Linked DNA regions of Drosophila melanogaster. Changing the gene in region 2 together with the main gene of any one other region gives a genetic interaction. Each region holds a gene or a part of one and is shown on either strand. Other genes may lie near its edges.

Evidence for each region.
Region 1: of sev (region 2) and Sos, changing one suppresses a phenotype caused by changing the other (phenotypic suppression), as found in Drosophila melanogaster (4 studies listed by BioGRID).
Region 3: of sev (region 2) and Egfr, changing one suppresses a phenotype caused by changing the other (phenotypic suppression), as found in Drosophila melanogaster (2 studies listed by BioGRID).
Region 4: of sev (region 2) and drk, changing one enhances a phenotype caused by changing the other (phenotypic enhancement), as found in Drosophila melanogaster (3 studies listed by BioGRID).

Annotation. Positions count from the first base shown.
Region 1 is NT_033779.5:13,811,973-13,819,833, reverse strand, and holds Sos (Son of sevenless), read right to left. Parts: upstream 6,019-7,861; 5' UTR 5,621-6,018; coding exon 4,529-5,620; intron 4,476-4,528; coding exon 4,118-4,475; intron 4,056-4,117; coding exon 3,133-4,055; intron 3,069-3,132; coding exon 2,220-3,068; intron 2,158-2,219; coding exon 1,267-2,157; intron 1,199-1,266; coding exon 565-1,198; intron 500-564; coding exon 456-499; 3' UTR 10-455; downstream 1-9. Other genes in the region: CG16888 (uncharacterized protein), read left to right, coding at 6,600-7,109; CG16865 (uncharacterized protein), read right to left, coding at 7,200-7,355, 7,477-7,782, 7,848-7,861. UniProt on the Drosophila melanogaster protein: Promotes the exchange of Ras-bound GDP by GTP. Functions in signaling pathways initiated by the sevenless and epidermal growth factor receptor tyrosine kinases; implies a role for the ras pathway in neuronal development.
Region 2 is NC_004354.4:11,083,260-11,088,079, forward strand, and holds the start of sev (sevenless), read right to left. Parts: upstream 3,041-4,820; 5' UTR 2,937-3,040; intron 989-2,936; 5' UTR 867-988; coding exon 186-866; intron 1-185. UniProt on the Drosophila melanogaster protein: Receptor for an extracellular signal required to instruct a cell to differentiate into an R7 photoreceptor. The ligand for sev is the boss (bride of sevenless) protein on the surface of the neighboring R8 cell.
Region 3 is NT_033778.4:21,544,897-21,549,676, reverse strand, and holds the start of Egfr (epidermal growth factor receptor), read right to left. Parts: upstream 3,035-4,780; 5' UTR 2,087-3,034; coding exon 1,786-2,086; intron 1-1,785. UniProt on the Drosophila melanogaster protein: Receptor tyrosine kinase, binding ligands of the EGF family and activating several signaling cascades to convert extracellular cues into appropriate cellular responses. Known ligands include spitz, gurken, vein and giant-lens.
Region 4 is NT_033778.4:13,499,810-13,504,848, forward strand, and holds the start of drk (downstream of receptor kinase), read right to left. Parts: upstream 3,033-5,039; 5' UTR 2,882-3,032; exon of another isoform or gene 2,116-2,881; 5' UTR 2,082-2,115; coding exon 2,004-2,081; exon of another isoform or gene 1,665-2,003; intron 1,200-1,664; exon of another isoform or gene 812-1,199; intron 1-811. Other genes in the region: mars, read left to right, coding at 3,227-4,733, 4,791-5,039.

The DNA.
Region 1 (7,861 bases), on a different chromosome or scaffold from region 2:
TCGCCAAGTGTCTAACAATAGGGTTATACTTTATTGTTTTACGTTCTACGATCAATACAATGTTCTCGATATTTACAAATATTTATAATAGTAATTATATAATAACATAATTTCTTGTTTGCATTTCTTGTTGGTTGCTTGGTTGCTTGCTTGGTTTGTGTGTCCTGCATTCCTATCCATATGCGCGTGCCTGTTGTGTGTAAATGAGAGCGTATTTTGTCTGTCTGTCTGTTCTACCTTGTTAAATGAGTGGCGAATAATCTAAATCAGCGGTTCCAACTCGTTTCATACTAGAATACATAAACTGCGCCTACGTATATATGTATATATATATATATATATCTCACGTTCCGTTCTCTCATATATATATCTGCACTCAAGCAGTGCTCGCAACTTTGAATCTTACGGATCATACTCGTAGTTTTCGTCCTTATCACATCGCCAGGCAATTTAAATTATTCTTCGTTTGTACTTGGGTAAAGAAACATCGTACCTTTATCTGCAAACGGATAGGATGGTTGGGTTAGGAAACACGTTATCACGGGCCGAGTTGGTAGCACTCACCTGGATTGTTATAGAAGTTAGCGCTTAGACTAGGTTTTGGTGGAAGTTTGGGTGTGCCCTCGAGGCTCGTGGCAATCGGAAAGAACTCCTTGGGGGACGAGCGCGACTGCGTCGGATTCGAATGGTGCTGGTGCGGATGGTGCGGCAGATGGGTGGCATGATGTTGATGGTGCTGCGAGTAGATCGCTGGATGCGTCTGCTGCTGCTGCTGCTGCCGCATTCGCAGTTGGTGGGCATAGCTGCTCGACGTGCTCTCCACCGGATGGCTGGGAATGTTGGGAGACATGGGCGACATGGCGGGTGTCAGCGGTGATGTGGTCGTCGAGGAGCTTGCCGCTGGCGAGATCGGTAGCGGCAGCGGTTCGTCCGTCGCCACTGCCTGCGACACGGTCACTAGTGTCGTGCTGATGGGTCCCGCCGCCGCCTGGTTTGGCTGGCTAGTTGCCGCTGCCCGCTTCTCGATCGCCGAGTTGCGGCGTATCATAATACTGCTGGTGTTGGGCAGGAGCAGACTGCTGTTGCCCACAAACTCCTTGCTCTTGCCGTGGCTTTGTCGCAAGTAGCTGATGCCCGTGGAATGGTTGAGCCGTGGCGGTATCGGCGGCGGACTGAGTTCGCCATCACGCGGGGGTAACTGCAAGGATACGTAAAATGATTGCTGTCATCTGCTACTACAAATTAGAAGTAAGTGAGGCTACTTACTGTGGGTGCGTCTGGCGCCTGACGCTTTTGCGCCATGTCCGCACAGCTCTCAGTGCGCTCCTTGCGTCTGGGTGGCAGTGGAGGCGGCACTGCTCGGTACTCCATATTGGTGGCCATCGGAACGTTGACATGCGGCGAGATGGGCACTGCCCCCGGCTGTCCCTGATGGGCACTGTTAAAGTAGAATCCACCCGCGCAGAATTCCTCCCCGCCCGATGTAGACATGCCTGTAAGGGTCACGGTACTGGCAGTGCTATGCGTTGGGCTGTTCTGCATGCGCCCATGGAATGGTGATCGATTGCCGGTTTCGTGACGCGGACTGACCACTAGCTTGGGCAGCGGCGACGGTGGAGCTTCCGTGTCCGATGCGAATGGATTGCTGTCCGGCAGGGACTGCGGTGGCAGATGCTCCGGCAGCGCTGGACTGAACACAACATCCATTGCCGACGCACTGGCCAGTGTCGAGTTGTTGTTAGCCCAGACATGCGCGCCCGGTTTCTTGGGGAGATGTGGCGCCGGCACCGAAACCTCCCCGTTGTTCTGGTCCGTTCGAGTGTGCTGTGGCGTTCCACTCCAGCTGCTGGTGTTCCGTTCGGGTATAATAACAGGGGCGAAAACGGAGAAAGCGTGCGGATTGTGCTGCGGACTTTGCTCGCCAGCGAGAGTTCCAGATCCAGCATTAGCTGCTGCTGCTGTTGGCGCATCCATTATGCTGGAGGCGTGCAAAGATGGCGCCGATGCCGTAGCTATTGAGGTGGCCGTTGACGATGCTGCCGCTGCCGCCGCCACGGACGACGTGCTGTTCGACAGCTTGCTACTGCTGTTGGTCTGATTCTGGCGACGCGGCTTGATGCCCGGCGATTTGAGCGGAATGTGCGGCCATTTTCGAGGCTACGAAAGGAAAATGGTTAAATTTCCTATATGACTTGTAAACTTTGAAGCATTATACTTACGAATTTCGGCACTGTCTTGCAGCCCCTTGGCTCAATGCGCAGGCTTTCGTTATAGAGATAGTCGGACATCTGTTTGTCGGACAGTCCGTTAAACGGATCCAGTTGCTCGAAGAACTGTCGTATTGTGGACTCCTCGTTGAGGCAGTATGGCTGGTTCTGGTACTGTTGAATCTCGCCAATAATCTCGGCCACTTTCCGTCGTTTGGAAAAGTTAATTAGCTCTGTGTTGGCTAGCAGGTCGGGGTTACCCTCCTCCAAGTGGAGTATGTTGGTCAAGTAGCGACCGAAAAATGGCACACAAGGCGGATTGATGGATCGCAATCGCTCCTGATACTTTTTGAGATGATCGTCGCTGAGCTCGCGGCATTCCTCCAAGAATTTTCTGTAGCGTTCGGGCAATCCCTGGAATGTCCACCGCAGTCGATAAACAGATGCCGTGCCCATAGCCGCGACAATCGAGAGGATTCCATTAAAATTGTTCAATTCCAGCATCACCATCATCACTTCGATTGCGCGTTGCATAATAGCCAGGCGTTCCTCGTAGTTCTCCGCTTCGGTGATGGATTTTTCAATCCAGCGGGTGACGTTCGTGGTGTGCTTCATTATCTTCAGTAGATTAGGGCTCTTCACCTCCTTGTCCTTTTTCGTCCAGGGTGATCCGACCAACTCAGACGGCTTTACATTCTTGTACATCTCGAATTCCAGTAGAGTGAGCTGACGGGCCAGTTCCAGTGGGTGCAGGGTGAGGAGCGTTATCTCGTCGTTGGGTACACTAAGGTGATGCTCAATGGGCGGCGGATCGTGGCCATAGGCGTATACAATCTTTTTATTGCTTTTCTCCTGCTCGTTCTGTAAATAATATTTGAAAAATGATAACGATACTTCCACATTATGCTGTTGACCAACTACTCACCTTTCTCTGAACAATCTTAAGCACGGAATCCACCCACTTGCGCATCGATTTGCCATTCACGTGCTCCAGAAAGTTCAGCAGCTTCTCCAGCAACATGGGATCCTTCTCGAAATCGTAAAAATGATGGTCGACCCAATGGCGCAGTACGTTGAGCACTCGAAACTGCACTGGCTGCACGTACTCCTTGCGATATCGTTTCCAGTCCTCGCGATGCGAGTTCTTGTGCTCCTTGTCACCGCCAACGCCGCCCATTCCACCCGCACCTGCTGTGCCCGTGTCTTGATAGACCAGGCTGGGATCCGGTATGTTAAAGCGTTCCACCAGCAGTTGCAGCAATTGCTGCGGCGAGCAGAAGTAGCGATATGTGGTGAGGAAGGTGCGCACAAAAGTCGGATCGGCGTAGATGTGATAGGTGAGGCGCTCGATTAGCTTGCAAAGCGTCGCTCCCTTGATCATCGGCACTCCTGCGCTTTCGCGCTCCTCCAACACGATATTGTCACCGCTGTCCGGCACCGCGAACTTGTAAATCTCCGGACTGGGCATCCGCAGCGGATGCTTTCGCTCGATGTCTTGCAATATGCTGTCCAAGTGCCGGTCCAGCATCGACTTGGTGATAACCATCAGCAGGTCTGCCATCCAGTCGTGCTTGTGCTGTGCATTCTTGGCGGTCAGCACAATGGGCGGCTGCATCCGGGGTGCCAACTCAAAACTGTTCTTCAGATCATCGCTGTCCGGTCGATCGTTGATATCCACGCGTCGCATGAAATACTTCTCCTTCAGTCGGTAGTCGTAGGCCGTTGCTCCTGCCGATGGTGTTTGTTTCTTGGTGTTTGCCTTGCATAGCACCATTAGCCCGTCGAAGAGGAATACCTTGCGCTCGCTCCAGATTCGTTTTCCCGATCCAAGTTTGCTCAGCGAATCCTCTGTAAATTTGAAATACCATTTTAGTTGGAGGATGCAAGTAACTTTCGTTGCCAGCACTTACCGCGAATAAATTCATTGCAATTCTGGCCCACGTCCTTGTCCTCCCAGTGCTCCACCTTCATTTGGAGCTCCCGTGTCCGCTCGATTGCCAGCTGGCGGCGCACTCGACCGCTAACCGGAACTTGTCGCTCCTTGGACAGGCTGGCCATTACCTTTTCGAGATCGCAGTGGAGTGGATGCAACAGTCCCTGTACCTGTTCGAAGCTCTCGATGTCGTCCTGCGAAGAGCTGAGATCCTTGAGATGCTTGATGTAGTCGAAATACACGAAGGCATGGCAAATGGGCACCAGAAGCAGCTTGGGCAAATAGTATTTGACCGCATCGCGGAAGCCATGGCCGGCTGTGGTCAGAGATGAGGCCTAAAAGCAGGGATTTTAGTAGAATTCTTCGCACAGAAGGTATCAATACTTACCCCTGGCTTAGACAGGAGATTGTTGAGAGCATCCCGTGAGGCCTGCGAGGTAACGTCGTAGGCGTACTTCTTGTACACATCGAACTCCTCGGCCTCGGCCAGTTCCTCAAAGCAGCTACCGACGCAGGGGGCACTCTGCTCCTGGGACATCTCGATGACGTCCTCCAGGGAGCCGAGCAGAGTGACCGTCACCTCGTAAATGTCCATTATGTTGGAGAATATCGGTTCCAGCTCGCGCGGATCGGACACGATCTTCACCAGCTCCTCACGAAAGACGCGTATGATCATGTGCAGGTCGCGTTGGTACTGCTTCTCGTCGTGGATCAGCTCCTTGACCGTCTCCTCGTAGGTGGCACTTGCACGCTGCGCGGGAAGTGACAGGGGACTGGGCAGGATGTGGGCTTCGCTCTGGTTGAGCATGTCCATTAGCACACGATCGGCGTTCATCACCACCTCGATGTCCTCCTTGGTGATCTCGCAGTGGGCGATCTTGATCACATAGTCGCCGGCCATTTTGAGTATGTCCGCTGAGATGTACTCGAGCACGGCCACCAGGAAGGCGGACACGGAGCTATCGATCTTGTACTGCAACACATCCTTCTGGAGCAGCGTGTGCACCTTTTCCGTGGGCAGGACAGACTTGCGTTTCTTCGAGTTGATCACCTCCTTGGCCTCGTTCAGGGCCCACTGATCGATGGGCGCTGGAAAGGACTTGTTCACCTTCTCCTCCACATCCTGCACGGAATGGGGCAGCGGCTTGGCGCACAGCATGGCCAGAAGCCGCAGACAGAGTTTCTCCACATACAGCAGTGCGTCCTCCTTGGCGGTAACCCGTGGATGCACTTGCTCCAGCACCTTCTTTAGCGATGGCGTAAACAAGCCCCTCCATCTCGCAGCATTCTCGCACTTGGTGAAGTCATAGCCATCGCAATCCTGCAGCCCAGCCACGCCACCGCCGCCAATGCCAATACCACCGCCTCCGCCCTGTGAGCCACTACCACTACCACCGCTGCCGCCGCCGCCTCCAGTGCCCAGACCGATCCCGCCCCCGTAGCTAATGGTGTGGGCATGGCCGCTGGGCCCCGAGAACATTCTGTGCGCCGTGGAGTAGCCGACGAGAGCCTGCCGTGGAGCACCTTCGTTGGCCGCCTGCCCTCCGCCTCCCCGCCCGCTGTGTTGTGCACTGAATCCAGCGACGAGTGGAGTGGAGCGGAACCTGGAAACTGGAAACCTGGAACCGTGGGGCACCTGGCACAGCCGGATCACCCGGGCGAACGTCGCATGGCAGTCACACACACTCAAGCGCACGCACTGAACTCGTTTCGAATCTTGAACGGGGCTCGCGCGTCCGTTTCGTTTGCAAATCGCTTGGGCTTCAGCACTTGTTTTCAGAATATGTATCTTCGATATATATATGTATAATATAATCTTCAACTCAATATAATATTTTTCGCGGTGTGACCAGAGTGCGGCACTGCCTAAATCCAGTAAATGCTCGCGACCAGCCCTGATTCGATGCTTAAGAATGTACTAAAAAATCCAATGTAGAGAGCATTCGTGTTGAATGGCTTTTTTAGCAGAAGAAGAAGCATTTTGAATTTAAATTGCAACGAGCAGGTTTAAAATATATTATAATTTACCCAAAAAAAATGAATTTAATTATCTCTTCAATGTTTATATTTCAAGAAATTTATATTTATATTTATAAAATGTCTTTCCTTATCTAAAATCGTAAGGAGATATGCAACATACATATCGACTCATCCCTTATTTTACTTGGATAATGTAAGATACATCCGCTTTCAACGCTTCTAAATCGAAAACAAGTACAATGTGTTCAGTTGAAACAATTAAACATATGAAAGCAATGCAATGCAACAGAATACAAAAACCAAAAACAGTTAGGGAGCTAGCTTCCAGAAGTCGAAGCTTCTATACCCTCGTATAATTATATATTTGAAAAACAATCCATCCAAAAACCATAACTATACGGTATATAGTATACATATACACATATATGTACACTTTTACTTTGTTGTCAAATTTTCAGTGTATAATACTTCAGGTTTCAATGTCCGCTTATAGATTGAGTTGCATCGGGAACGCGGAATGGGGACCCCATACCTCCAATCGTTCCAGCTCACTATTCAACTCGGAGGCCATCGAACAGTTGCGCGATAAGTGGACCCACTTCTTTTTTAACCTGCCAAAGGCGCCTCTCGAATTGCAGCTGGCCAAAGCCCGAGCGAATCGTGCACTCGAGCTGGTCAGGAGCAAGGAGAAGGCTGCTTTGGAACGGACCGAATCCTCGCCAAGAAGTAAGTGCCGTCCACTCACTGCTCTGCACAACTCGCCGCGTACCACGAATCGAATGAAGCTGATCATGGAGACTCGCGTGCGTCCAGCGATCGTCAAAAAGTCAAAGTCGGAGTACAATCTATGTCCCAGTTGTGGGCTTGTCAAGGACTCGATTCTCAATCACCAGCACGCCGAGCAGCGACTGAAGAAGCTACTGGCACAGCATCCCAGTTTGCTGCCAAAACGACAGCATAGAAGGTCAAACTATTTGCGTATGCTATAACTAGATAAATTGCAATTTTTCTTCCAAGAATGCCAGCCATTTGTGTCGTCAAATATATTTAGTTGTGGGTAATAAGGAGGCAGAGTGTGACTATCTTTCCAGTAGCGTGCCGCGCTGCTTCTTCTGCGGCGGAGGTGCGTCCTCTGTCTTGGTTTTGATGCCCACATCGCTCAATTTTCCGCCTTTGCGCTGCAGTTGCTTCTCGATAATCCTTGCGTTGTTCGCATAGCTGTCTGCGATCTCGCGCTGTTTGAATGAACAAAAAAAATGGTTAGTTTGAAAGAGTTGTAGGTTTGTTCGTAGATGATGCAATGATAGATTGGATTTCCTGCACCATTTACAAACCAACTTTAGCTGACAAACTTACCGCCTCGATTTCATCCTCCTCCTCGTCGATGGTAGACACCGTGACCGAGCTGAACTTGCCCATGTTCTTCGTGTGTCTGGTGACGACGACCTTCTTGCCACTGGCATCCACAATACCCGAATCGTCTGGACCGGCGGAAGTCGCTGGCTTGGCAGCCGGTGCCTTGAAACTGCCCTTGATCTCCGAATTCAGCAGCTGTGTGAGAGGACTCTCACCCTTGTTGCGGATTAGGGCATTGGACATGACGAAGGTTACGTGGGAGTCGGGACTGTGGCGATAGTAAAGCGGCAGACTGCAGCTTCGGCACTGAAGGTTAAAGGAAAACATTAGGTGAACTAATGACGGGTAAGGAGTGGAAGTCAGCTACTCACCTTGTAGCGGTACT
Region 2 (4,820 bases):
TAAACATTTCGCACCCGAATGTCGCTTTACCCTTTTTTTTCTTTGCTTTGCCCTGGGGAAAGTCATGTTTTATGCATGTTTTATGCATGTTTTATGCTCTTTTGACACCATCACGAAATGTGCATTATCACAATGTATGTAAATACAATATAAAACTTAGGTAATGTTAGAAATCTAGAACTCACCTCAACAATGCAGCGCTGCACACAATCCCTGGTCACGCGTTCCAGGACCATTCGCTCGTCGACGCCATGCTGTTCCTCCGAAGGATCACGATCCCGATCTCGATCATCTGGATGATGGGCCATCGTTGACTGTGGCCTGCTGCTGATGGCGATGCCCTCGACAATGCTTGGCGGAGCTGCGGCGGCGTGCTTGTGCCAGATGGCCACCTTCTCGACCACATCGCTGTCCAGCTTGGGACGCAGCAGGCGCATTTGGTCTTTGGAGACGGGTTCGGGACTCTGGTGCACCGTATAGTTGTGCGATCGGCAGACATCGCAGCAGATCGAGAGTAGAATGAGCAGGAGAAGATTGATGATCAGTATGGTGGATATGCCGCCATGGCCATCCTGGCCACTGGCCAATTGGCGGCCTAAGCGAGCCAATTGCTGACGTAGATCGAAGGAGCTGCTCTGCTGGCGGACCACAATCTTGCTGGGTGAGGCATTCTGGGAGTTCGACGAGGAGGAGGAGGTGCCAGGTGCCTGCTGATTGATGTGGGTGGTGGTCATCTTGGTATTCACATTCACCGCGATCTTCACATTGAAGCTGATGTTCAATCTCTTTGTGGGCGCCGCACCCTTCGCCTGTTTGTCCTGCTCATCCGACTGGTGGTCTACATTTTGTTGCCAAAACATAGTCATCGAGGCACTCGATCTTCACCCCGAGTTCGCGATTTGTGGCGTTCGATTCCTATTTCACTCGATAATCGTTGTTTGCTTTGGCTGAATTAACATTTTAGTGCCGCATTTGACTGAAAACGAAACTGAAACACACAACACAGTGACCACCGCAGTGTAAATCAAAAGAGAAATAGAAAGAGAGGGGTGAATTTGAACAACGCACAAATAAAAATCAGATTTCAAATAGCAGAGTCAAAAAACCAATTCAATTGGAAATTTTAAGTACACAAACTAATTTCCATTTTATGCAAATTCGAGAAGCAGCAAACGAGGCAGTTACAAAAAATTAAATGCAAGTGATATTTTACGGATACCCTTTACTCAACATTATGTCATATAATGTTAAAATATATGAATACATTTTTATATAATTTATTTAGCGAATTTGAGAAATGAGTCTCGTTAACTTTCCATTAAACAGAATGACTTATTTCTTGTACTTCAATTCATTGCAGTTGCAATTTAAAGGCATAAAAAAAGCTGCTAAAAGGCCCGAACCTAGTAATTTACAAATATTTGCAGTATATCAGCAAGCCAAGTTTTGTCTAATTAATAGATACTCCAATCACTGTATTTACAAAGTGGCAGTTCTGCCCTTGCAAAATGCTATATTACTATCATTTTTGTCAAACCGTCAATTATCATGAGTTTTCCGGATTATTACTCAATTTAGTGTAACAAGCATAAACAATTTACATGTATAGTTGATTAATAGCTGTACCAATAGCATTAAATGATATTTGCATATTTGAAAATTTGATGTATATAATATATTTGATATATTTGATATATATTTGATATATTTGGAAAATAATTAATAAAAATAAGTAGGCAAGTGAATATACCCCAAGAAAAAGCTTAACTACATTGCATTCTACTTATTTCAGATGCAGCTCAAAGGTTCAACGCACATTGCCGGCGAGATAAACAGGGTAAACACAAACACACACACACACAATCTAAGTCCGGATCGATAAGCCAAAATCCCAATGATCTCCGTAACTGGTTTGGCCAGCTTCCACCGCCCAACTCATCCAAATGTCGCCGGGATTTCGATTAGAGGACATGGATGGTCCATGCTCTCATGGTCCATGGTCCAATTAATATGGCGTCTGCATAATCAGCTAGCCAAGCGACAAGTTTCAATTAACATGGCGTAATGCATGGCCAATAAGTCACGCCCCCTTCGACCGACCACAGCAAAAACAACAACAACAACAACAACAACAACAACAATAGCGAACGGGAAGTGGCCATAACAAATTTATCCTCATTAAGATGCAAACACATTCGACGGACGGAGAATAATCGAGCGGAGTCGCACTTTCAAAAACGGAAATCCCTTTTGTCCGCAAGTTCAGCAAAACCATAGATATACATATATATATGTATATATATATATATGTATATATAATAGTTAATTGCACTTTAATTTCATATTTACCAGCAACAACAACAGCACAGCAGCACGGAAAATGTTAATTAAATCGCCCGATGAGCAGACTAGACCGAACAAATATATATATGTATAAACAAAATGAAACAGAAAAACCGAAAATAAATTGAAATTCAAATTGAATAAACCGCGCGAAATAGTGAAAACACGAAAGATCACAGCGGGATTAATTGCATTAAAGTTATTCAGAGAATATTATGCAAAAGCTGCCGGCCAGCGTTTTGCATTAATTAGTCGAAGGTATGTATGCTATAGTATATATATATACATATTTGTACAATCAGAAAGTCAAAACCGATGGAGCCTTAAACTCTCACCCACATTTCGCTCGAATCGCCGCTGTTGAAGTTGTTAAGCGCTGTTCACGCGCTTTAATTCAATTTATTGTTGATTTGAGCGGCTTAATTGCATTTTATTGTTGCAGTTGCGGCCCCAACTGAAAAGCAACTCCACACACACACACATAGGAACACTTAGTGCACGCGAAAAAAAAAGGGTATTAAAAGAGCCGAAATTCATGCAAACACACACATACGCGCACGGATGTATCTTGTATCTTTGAGAACGCAACTCACTCGACAAAATGTCACAGATATCTGGATGTGGATCTGAATCTGGATCTGGATGTGCGATTCCCGAAGCGTTACGTAGTGCGCAGTGGCGCGATCGCAGCAGAACTGATTTGCCGGCGAGCGGCGGCTTTTTAACCAAGCCCCAAGCTCCAAGTCCAAGTCCAACCCCCCAGCTGGAGAACTTGAGCACGGAACTGAAACCGAACCGAAGCGATGCGATGCGATACGATACCATACGATACCATACGATACCATACGATGCGATGAACGATGAGTGACGAAGCGCACCGCAACCGAACCGAACTGAACCGAACCGATCTTAAATGACCATTGATCTTCTTTTTCGTTGACGCAGCAACTATGACGTCATTGGCAGGGCAACCCCTAAACTGGATATCATGGGTAGATAGCCCACCGCGCTCCTCTTTCCATGGGTCAAAGCTCAACTCAATCGGTTGATCGCAGATCGCAAGCAGGCCGCCAGATATTTAAGTTCTTATAGATACATAGATAGATAGATGTATTTTCCATCTCAAGAAACCAATGCCACCTCAAGAGTATCTATCTAAAATATAATCTTAATAAAAACATGATCTTAACATTGTGCATCTAGTTGATTTGATGATTTTCGGTTTTTAATAAGCTTCCGACTTACATAGTAACATCTTTGTATCATTAAAATTAAGGTAATGGGCCGAGGCTATGTAAAATGTATATAATTATTAAATTATAGTACTTATTTTTGAGCTAGACTTATTAAGACTAAATATATTGAAAAGCTTACATCCAAAGAGGGTTAAATTTCAACTTCTTGCAATGGAAAAAAACTTTATTCGTTTACAAATGTTAACAGAAATAATTTAAAATACAACTCAATTTACTCTAAACATCGTCACATGAATAGCGCAAATCAACGCGCTTTTTCGCCAACAAATAAACGTGGCAGAAAATTTGTTTAAATCGTTTAGCTGACTCACTCTTTACATTTAGCTAAGCATTAACAGCACACCTAAATTGATTATTAAACTAATTGATCGCAAGCAGCAGTAAACGCTTGAAAATAATTGAATTCAATAGGGAACTAGCCCACACAATCAGAAAATAAAGTCATCAATTGGGGTGAATAGAAGTGTATTTCCATGAAAAGTAAACGAGATGTGGAAAGTCATAGAAATTTCATTAAAAATTTTCTATCAAACTACAAAATATCATATTTCCATAACTTTTTAACCGAGAAATATGAAGAAAACAAGTTAAGCTATTAATTTCATTGATTTACACAAACATTTAGGTATTTTTTTTTTACTCTGTAGAATCAAAAACTCGCAAGCTAAGAAATATGCAATATTTTAAAGCATTTTCCGAGCATTTGAAGCACACAAGAGTAGGCAATTTTCCGGTTACACATGACTCGTGACTCATACAACTGACACTGCGGGATGAAAAATTGAGCGGCGAGTGAAAGGCTTGCGTGACAGCTTCCGTTTCCGGTTCCGCCATCAAGTCCAAGTATCCCTTTCGCTTATGGATTTTTTGGCCAACGGAAAGGATGTGCCGCAGACATCCAAACTGCACTCGTGCGCACAATTTCTTGGCCCGAATAATCTGTGGAAATCCAATCTCCCGCCTGGGATCATCGAATTCGTACTAATCGTTTGAAATATTCTGGAATTGATTAGACGGCAAACTTATTACACACACTTGACGGAAGATGCGGCTTATCAACCCGAGCGATTCTCAATGGATTCGCCGGCGGACTAGGTGCTACATACCTATTTCACAGACTGTCACGTGAAAATCAGATTTTCGCATTTTTTTCGAAAAAAAAAGGGACAACCCCGGAAATTCACCTTCTGATTGACGTATTGTGCACATTTTGCATGCAAA
Region 3 (4,780 bases), on a different chromosome or scaffold from region 2:
ATTTTGCCTGAATGAACAATTAAAAGGTGATTTTTTGCCAGCGAGTGTAGCGTTTTGAACTATAAAGACGTCAACAACAATTGCCAGTTGTTCGAGTTTCCTACCCCCAACGATTTTTTTAACGGTTTCGATTCGAATGCACGTGCAGGCTTTTCTCTAGCATTTATTTGCATACATGCCGCAGCTGTGCTTATTTTTATGGTCATAAAGAAAACAGCGAAACAGTAAGCCAGAGCAAATAACTCGAACAATTTCTGCGAAAAGGGCATTGTGACAGCAGCGATCGTCTGTGCGAAAAAAAAGGGTAATATCGCTTTTTAAGGTTCTGGCATCTTTATCGGTTTCATAACTCGCTTATCTAGCCATACATACATACATACATACCACATCCACATATCCGGCTATGCGGTGGTGGTCTCCCGTCTCCCATTAGCATAGACTGCGTAGCCAAAGTTTTCGTTTTCCTATCAATATTTGCACAGTTGCTGGCGCACAATGCGCACATTCAGTTATTAATTTGCAGCTACAAGATCACTGAGTACTTGGTATCGACGGCCCGCTTTTATTCGCCTCCCATTTAATTTTTACTTTTCTGTTTGCCCGCCGAATACAAACATTTGCCTCAAAGTACTGTGCAAACAGACACCGCCAGATACGCCATGGAGTTCATTAAATTGTGGCCAAATGGTTACCCAAACATACAGCCAGCCAGCCAAGCAGCCAAAACTTCCAATATGCGAATACCAAATTTTGTGTATTAATTTATTTTCCAACGGGTAAGAAACAAAGAGCCCACAAAGAAAACCTCGAGAACTGCAGAGTCAACAAATTGAGTCGCCATTTTAGCTGGAAATTGTGTCGCTAGTTGCAGTTGCCCTATTGCTCTTACTGTTGCTTTTGCTGTTGCAATTGCAATTGCTGCTGATGCACAGAAAAGGGCACGCAGACGGCGGGAAAAGTGGCAGAGTGGAAAAATCGGGCGGTCTTAACACTAACTAACTACTACGCTTTACCTTGTACATTTGACATTACGAAATGCACAGCACAGTGCTCAGTGCTTGGCTAATCAGTGCGTTCTGGTATTCTGGTATGTTTGCCGTGATATCTGATGGCTAGGTGTGGGGGTAACTCGAAACAGGGGCGATAGTGCACACAAGACTCTTTGACTAAGCCAGCGCCAAGTCAAGAGGTGAGCCACAGGGCAGGTGAGACCGTCGCGAAGGGCAGGTATTAAATGGAGGGAGCATTCACTCTGGACTAGGGGATACCCTGGCGTATACGTGATATTGGGAAATATCATTCAAAGTCCATATTCCAGACACATAAATGTTAAGTAAGCTTATATTACTTAAAATACTACGAATTCACACACTATTGCAAGTGTTTTTTAATCTATGAGCTTAGTAAAATATTTGTAATATTGCACACTTTGCAGCTACCCCTCGATAATTGATATTCCCAGGGTAACGATAAGACCAAATAATACGAAATGCAGCCGAAAACGAAGCTATATTTAAAGTGCAGTACAGGGGAAAAATAAAAAAAAAACATCACAGCGATAAGATAAACGACAGCATATCGCTGGCACGAAACTACAATAAAAAAAAAAACACCTGAAAACGGTGGAAACTCTAGAGACCAACTGATACGGTGGCCAAATTCGGGACGACTTGGCTCTTTTGATATATGGGCAGCCAGTCAGTCAGCCAGATGATCTACATAAACACATTTTGATAGATGATGGGCGGCTTGAGGAAGATGGATAGATCCTTGCGGTGCACTTACTTTTCCCCTTGACGAACTCGTTCTTGTTCTTATCCTCCAGACTGGTGGGAATGGTGACTCCGTTGGCTCCCAGTCCCAGGGCGAAGTTGGCCCCGCCCCTCTGTCGATTTTGGGCCGAACTGCTGCGGTATAGGAATCGATCTCGATCCCGATCGCGATCTATATCCTGATGGCGCTGGCGATTGTTCTGGCGGGCGTAGCGATCGCGGGCCGCCGACGCGGGCCAAATGCAAATGCAGTGGGCCAGGAGCAGGAGCAGCAGGGGGAAGGGGCAGGGGCCGTTGCGCCGTCGCAGCAGCATTGTTGCGGGGCGGTGGGTGGTTTGGTGGTTGGTGCTTTTTGTGGGCGTTACTGGTGGGATGAATCAAGCCCTCTTCCAAGCTATAACCCCTGACGTCATAGGGGTTATTTTTTATTCGTTTCTTTTTCTTGAACTTGCGGTTTACTTTCGGCTTTTTGCTCACTCAGCTTTGCGTGCCAAAAATACAGCTTTTCATAAATTTGATTTCGACTCTTTCACTGCGTTTGCTGCGGTTGCTGTTGTTGTTGTTGTTGTTTTGAATTTAAGCTGTTGTCGTTGCAATTTGCCACTGTATTGGTGTTTACATTTCACTGTGTATGCGCGTGAGAGTGAGTGTGTGTTTTCGAGTGGGTCTTTTGAACGCGCCAGTGAGTGAGTGTGTGCGTGAGTGTAGGAACCAGTTTCACATTACGAGCCACAAGAGTCGTCCGAAGGCTTTCATATATATATATATATATATATGAGTGTATGTAAAAAATAAAATTTTTGTTATTTTTCAGATGTATTTTTCAGCTTCTTTTTTGAGTTCGCCAACGATTTTTGAGGTTAGAGAGGCGTGCGCAGGCGCAGCTCTTAGCTTTCAGCTTTAATTGATTGCCCTAAGCAATTGTTGTGTTGCCCCCGCAGCGGTTAACTTGCACAAAACACACACACTTGGCCATCATTCGAACTGAGCCACAACCGCCACAGCCGCGGCTGCCAATTAGCAGGGTATTCACAAAAATACGCTTAGTAGTATAGTATAGGCCAAAGGCACTTGGCTTACACCCCGTTTTTGGCTTTGGTTTTGGTCGTTTTGCGAACTGTGATTTCTCGGTACTTCGATTAGCACGATCTTCGAATTAGCAAACGCTGCGATCGAGAGCACAGATATGGCCGAGGATTCGAGCTCAAGACGTCCGTACTGAGCGATTCGCGTCCGCGCAGCAACAAGTTGTATTCGAGACTGAGGCCAAAGCCGCAGCCAAAAGGCGCTGCTCCCTCTCTGTCTCTCTCTCTCACTCTCTCGCCGTGTTTCTTACTCTCGATTGCGGCGAAAAGAGCGCGCACAGGTAAAAATAAAGGTGAACGGCGAAATCTCGAGCTCAGATCAGGTCAAAATAAAAGCAAAGCCAGCGATACAGCAACAACTACGGCACAGCTGCGCACCGCTGTCGCCACCTCTCGCTCGCTCAGTGCAGCGTTCCCACTCGCACCGCCAGCGGACCATCTCCATCCACAATCCACAGGTAATCGTAAACGTAGCAGCAGCATTTTAAAAAGTCAGCGTAATACGAAACGATACGGCCAGATACATTGGGCAATCTTCCCCCAGACCAGCAAATGCTCTACATATCATGGGAAAATGCTAAACGTTGGCCCTAATGCACAGAATCGAATTTAGCGCCATCTCAAATGAACGGAAACACCAACTAGAGATCTTAAGTTCGCAGAACATAACTTCAACTAACAATCTTAACATAGAGTACATGGCTCAGAGCGGTTAAGTATCCCAAGCTTGAAGAGTGGATACCAAAGAAGGACAATCTTTTTGCACAAAATATGTTGCTCGATATACAGGGCGTGTATAAATAATATACACACGGGATTTATGTTAAAAAAGTTAAGAAGCATTTATACGCAACAACCTCAGTTTTAAGATAGCAAAGTTTAGGTAGGATTAAGAAGGCGCCATAAATAGCCTTTTCAACTGCAGAGACGAGTTTTCCAACAAAGGAAAGTACTTGAGCAACAATGTCCTGATTTTCCCCTCCCCCCAAAATGCCCAATAGCAAAGACAAGAGCAAAAAAACCAATGCGGGGATTATCCGACAGCATCTTAACTCCGACAGCTGTGCAGGGCATTTAAGATTCGCATCGATTGCAGGTCGTTCCCAGGTAAGATCTTGTGTATATCCCAATTTCTTGACACTGCTGCTGTTGTTGTTGTTGTTGTTGGAGGTTCTGTTGTTGCGGCGAATTTGAGAGCGTTCAGGTAAAGCGATCGCCGCTCTCTCACCTGGCTGTATATACATGGGTATGTGTGGGCAATGCTGCCATATAAGCACAAAAGATCTCGGCAATTGTATCTGTATCTGTGTGTGTTTGTGTGTGTAACTGTGCCCGCATCTGCATCTGTGTCTGTGAGCCGAGCCTGCGTGGGCCATGGATTGTCTTTTGGCAAAAAGATTTTTGTACGAGCGTTGTCAACATTGTTAGGGCAGATCCAAGACCGAGATCTCGTTGGCCTCTTCTTCACCTGTTCCCAGCCCACAAGAAATCGGGGTTTTTACGCCTGCGCCATGTGCTCTGCGGGATCGGGCCAAAAGGACACTGTTTCGGCAGGTAAATCCGAAGCGTTTTGACCTTTTTCACTTTGCCATAACAGAAATACAAAAGGTGCACTTGGAAAAGCGCAACTAACTCCTCGGTCCACATTTGAATCTCGAATCCCACGCTGTGACTCTCGAGAGGCGTTGCATTGTCTTGCTCGGCGCTTTGTTTCAGAGCATGAAAATACATTTAAATTGAAAAGCATTTCCACAGATTTCCACGATGGGGTAAAAGCGCCATGCTCCGGTCTGCAGCCATAATCAAACATATTAATAGCCGTCTGTCCCAAGCCAGAAGACCTCAATCAAAAGGTACACTGCCCAAACCGTACGGAATCATCTGTCAAAATCGAAGAGCATGCAACTGACAGCCGAACATCGA
Region 4 (5,039 bases), on a different chromosome or scaffold from region 2:
TTTTCAGTGCAGGCAATGTGCAATGTGCCTGTTGGATAATGCATAAATATTTAGCGGCGCTTTCGGAAGGCAGGCACGTAGTGGCCATGATTGTTATTATCAATTGTTTATACTCGTATGCTTATGTAATTACTAGAGAAAAAATTCTATTGTCGTTTCGGAAATCCGACGCTGAAAAAAGTGTCAAAGCAACACGAACGTTCACTTTTCGCTGTTTTCGCGACAAGCGAAAGTTGAGCACAGAATCCCATTTCGTGTGTTTCACATTGTTATGATAAAACGTGGCCACTTTTGGTGCCCACACAACAAGGCCGTTAGAATTGGAGGCATTTTTTTTTTTGGAAAATGGAGCTCCAAATATCCAAGAAATACGCTGACCTGTAAACCAGTTTTCTGGAAAGAGAACGAACCCCAATGAAATGTTTGATGATTCACAGCGCTCCTCTCTCTATCGCCTTCTATGCCTGCTGTATGTTTGCTGGATTGGGGCATCTTTTCAGATAAGGCTATCGAGAAGTGACTAATCGCTGGCAAACAAACAAATGCGCTGGGAGTTCGAACAGATATGCGTAACATACATATCTCCAATGCGAGATAATCGTGTATTTCTATTTATCCCCCGCATCAATGGAGCCCAGAACTATGGGCTATTAAACGAACTATGACTATCAGTGCGGATTGTTTACCCATTGATAAGACCGTGCAGCTGGACAGAGGGCTCATCTACGGCGTAGAAGCCCCTCTAATGGACGGGAGCAGCGCACACACTTGACCTTCGGGCGGCGATAAAGAAGCCTCTTCGGCGAGTCATTGACACCATCAATCAGCAGCAGCGGCAGCAGCAGCAACAAATGCTGCAAATGCAGCGGCGGCATATGGAAAAGAGGCGCAAAAAAAAGAGGCACAAAAAGGGAGAAAACCTGCCACGGGCCTGGGTTCCTGCTGTGACTAACCTACGACAAGGTAGACACACAGCAACGAAAATCAGCTTACATCGCGCCCTGGCAACAAGAAACCGGAAAATTCGCCAGCCAAAACAAAGGGTTTGGCCTAGGACAGCCAGCCAGCCAGCCATCGAGCCAGTGAGCCAACACAAACACAAACACCTGGAAGGAAGCAAGGCGGCGAAAAAGATCGAATCGCAGCCTGCCAGCAGCCTTTTTCTTGGCCAGAAAAGCCAGCGAATACAAGCAACACGGGTAAGCATCGGATGTCCCCCACAAAGTTCCGCAAAGTCAAAGGGGGCATCGAATATATCATCACTACAAACTGTTGGAATTGTTTTTCTAAGCATTCGGAAGAAAACGAATAAGGAAAGTTGAAATAGTATATATACTATAGGAATGCTAACAATAAATAAGTTCATTCAAGGAAACACAGTGAAAAATGCTAGATTTGCAAAGTATAGTATATAGATTAAATCATATATGCATGTTTATAGCTTTAGAAACCCCCTCCTCACATCATTTTTTAAACTTACTTTGTAATGCTAATCACAACTATATGCAGATTAAATGGGGTCAAAAATATGGTCTTGATAGATTTGAAGTGCAGTTGAGAAATGAAAAAATGTAGAGTAGAATGTACAATATTTCAGTATGTGATGCTTCACAAGGATTTTGTACTGATAGTGGAATATATTTGACTGAATCTTTTCGTTCTAGTAAGAGTATTCGGGCTGCGGTGGCTAATGAGTCGTAATCCTTTCGTGTTGCCTTCTGCGAATGCACCTTTTGAAACTCTTTAGCCAGCTTTTGCGACTGCTGTCTGTTTGGTCGCGATTTAGTAACAAAATCTGTCTGGGGATTGAACCTAGGATGTGGGTTAAGGCAACGACCTGGACGGCGGCAGCTGCATCGCAGCGGATTATGCATGCAGGACCTGCCACGTCCCCCTGTGCACCCCCTTACACCCTTGCGTGCCCCCATTCAGTGTGAAGTCTATGAATAAATGCAGATATTATGATTTGAGGTGGGAATTGATGATTTTGGAACAGCACTCACCTTTAGAATCTGAGTTTTGCGAAAACTCAGCTCGTCGTCAGCCGTCGCAGAGAAATCGTGTTTGGCAATCGCTTCCATTTTGCTGTGTTGTTTTGTGCGCAGTTAGAAAACGCTTTCGGAGTTTGTTTTAAAATTTAGTTGCAATTGTAGTTTTGGATTTAGTTCTATCAGCCTTGATGCACCACACACACGCACACACAGAGGCACAGACACACACGCTCGTTCTCTGCTCTTTCTCTCTAACTCTCTTTGAATTTCTCTCTCACTCACTACTCAGTGCTGTGGAAATGAAAACGAAACGAGACGAATCCGCGATTAGTTAGCGCACATTATATAAACGATAAATCATGGATATTCGGCAGTGCGCTTTTCTCAGTTCGGTTAATAATAATATATCTTGTGCGAAGGCAAGGGAAGAAAGCGATTAAAAATACACCGACGACGACGACATTCCCAGGCGGAGCAGCAACAGAGAATGAACACAGACACGAGCCGCTCTCTCCACGGCGGCCACTGTGTGGGTGTGTGTGCGTGAGCGTGGCAGCGTTGCCAGCAGCTTGCGATTTGGAATTTCGGGGAAAAGCAGGTACCGCAAAAGCAATTAGACGATGTTTGGCTATTACTTGTTGTTATGCGAAGTAATTTGCCTTAAATAATATGAAATGTGTCGCTTAGAACACAATTAACATTTGGCAATCTAGGGCGTGGGTGCTTGCTGTTGGCAATGCTGCCGCGGTGACGTTGTTGTTTGTTTTATTTTTTGTAACCCCAATAAACACACACACACACACACACGCGGCGCTTATATTTCTATATGCGTAAGTTGCGGCTAACTATTTTCGAGTCTCTGGCACGTGCAAAGAGGCCGCCGGGCTTACAATTTCAAAGGGCTAGGGTGGCTGCAAGCTTAAGCGACACTAATTAGGCGCGGGAGCGGTTTGGCTAACATATTACTACTGCTAAATTTGTAATTCACTTTTATTTTCATAGCAGCGTGACCGTGGCCGGGTCGCTTTATTATTCCAAGAAAATATACTGAACACAACACTGTGGGAGAGGCATACCGCAGGGCTTTCGTAGTTTTCCTTCACCTGGTCACACCGCAAGACGCTTCGCCATTTTAAAAATCAAAACAGGAGACGCTTCGCCGGAAAAGTCAGCATTACGTTTCATTCCCAACCGGACACTTCAGTTTGACTCGCCCATCCGTCACAGCAGTCGCCATGCAGCGCCACAAGGAACTGTACAAGGAGCAATCGCTGGTGCTGAGTCCGCGCAATCACTGCCAGGAGAACAGGGATCGGTTGCAGGCGGCGCGCGCCAAAAAACGAGAGGATTGTTTTTATCAGAACCGCATCATCAGCGTGAGCCCGACGCCCGTCAAAATAAAGCAATTGGCGGCGGCCCAAGCTGCTCTGACCCAGGAAAATGTGGCACCCAAACTGGAGAGTCCGGAGCGGCTGGACACGAAGCCCGCAGAACTGCTGAAGGAATCCAACCCGAAGGTCTCCCGCCAGAAGCTCTACTTACAACGCTACATGGAGTGGAAGATAGCCAAGACCAAGGAGCATAAGCAGCAAGACCAGAAACGTCGAGGCGCAGCCATCAATGTGCCGACAGTAAAACAATCAAAGGCCTTGCCCAAATCACAAACATTTCGGGTTCCCGATAATCTGGCTTCTGCAAAGCAGAAGGAGGCGGCTCCCATGTTCCAGCCTCCCAAGCGGTGTTCTCTCTACATGATTGCCAATCCGACGGGCAAGGGAAAAGCCGCAGAACCGATTAAACCTTCAATACCCAAGCCAACGTCAGCAGCAGCTCCTCCGTCATCCAATACCGTGGCTGCATCTTCCGCCTTGGCCAGGCATAAATCAGCTGCTTCTGCAACAAAAATAGTGCCTGCAATTCGTCAGAACAACAATCCAGTGGCCTTGGCCAGGCAAAAAGCAGCTGCACGACCCATTCCCAACACAACGAAGCAAACTACCAGTGTAAGGCAGCCTGGGATTGAAGCGAAAAAGATCACTACCACCATACCCAGACCCACCCCAGCGACAGTCACGAAAGCGAAAACGCCAGGCATACGACAACAGCCACCAGTGGTCAGCACAAAGCCAAGATTACCTGAGCCGCCAGCGCCACGGACAGCTAGACTGCCCAATGTGTTGTCCAAGCCGTTCGAGAAACCTTTAGGAAACAAGGCACCAGTGACACGACGGGCGAATGTCGTGAAACCACAGCCTATACGTGGCGGAGGTGGTGCCGCGGCCAAGTTCAAGGACACAGCTGGAGCGACCAGCAAGGCAGCAAGTCACTCCATACGAATGAAGGCCACCAAGATAAAGAGCCAGTACACGAGGCTTCAGGACAACGTGCGAAAGCTTCCTCAGCTCAAAGCCGAGTTGCTGCACGCAGCCACGCTAGATATACCGCCTCTCACGCCGCTAGACGATATCCATAATCCCTTTATCGACCAGGCCACATCAACGCAGTGCAAGTCGAACAATAGCAGCGGTCATCTTTTGGAGGCGTTTGGCGACACCATCTTGTTGAGCCCGGTGGCACCGGTCAAAGCTGAAGGAGAAAGTTCGGTGAAAAGGCAGTTGCTGCCGGAAGGTAAGAAAGAGGCGTCAGGTCCGGTGGCAAAGAAAAAGTTCGACTTTACGCGTTACTCAGTGGCGAATTCGCCGGCGGAGGACTCGCTCATCTTGGATCCTCAGCAGACGACGGGTGAGTTTGGGATACGCCTTCTCCAATCTTAAACTCAAACTCACATTTTCCTTTCAGTTAAAGAAGACACTGGAGATTCCACTTTGGTGCCAGAGGGTACAAAGACACCGCCACGTCGCGAATCCAATGGAATGCCCAACTATCTCAGTCCGTTTGTTAGTGTCTCGCGGGGAAAGGTGAACTCGCGCTGTGAGAAGGAGAAACGCAATAGCTTCTACCTGTCCAATGAGGAATCGCCCTTGGAAGTTCGCCGTGCCATTGAATCGGTTCTGTACTTCCGACTGCAGCTGGAAAACGAGATCACGC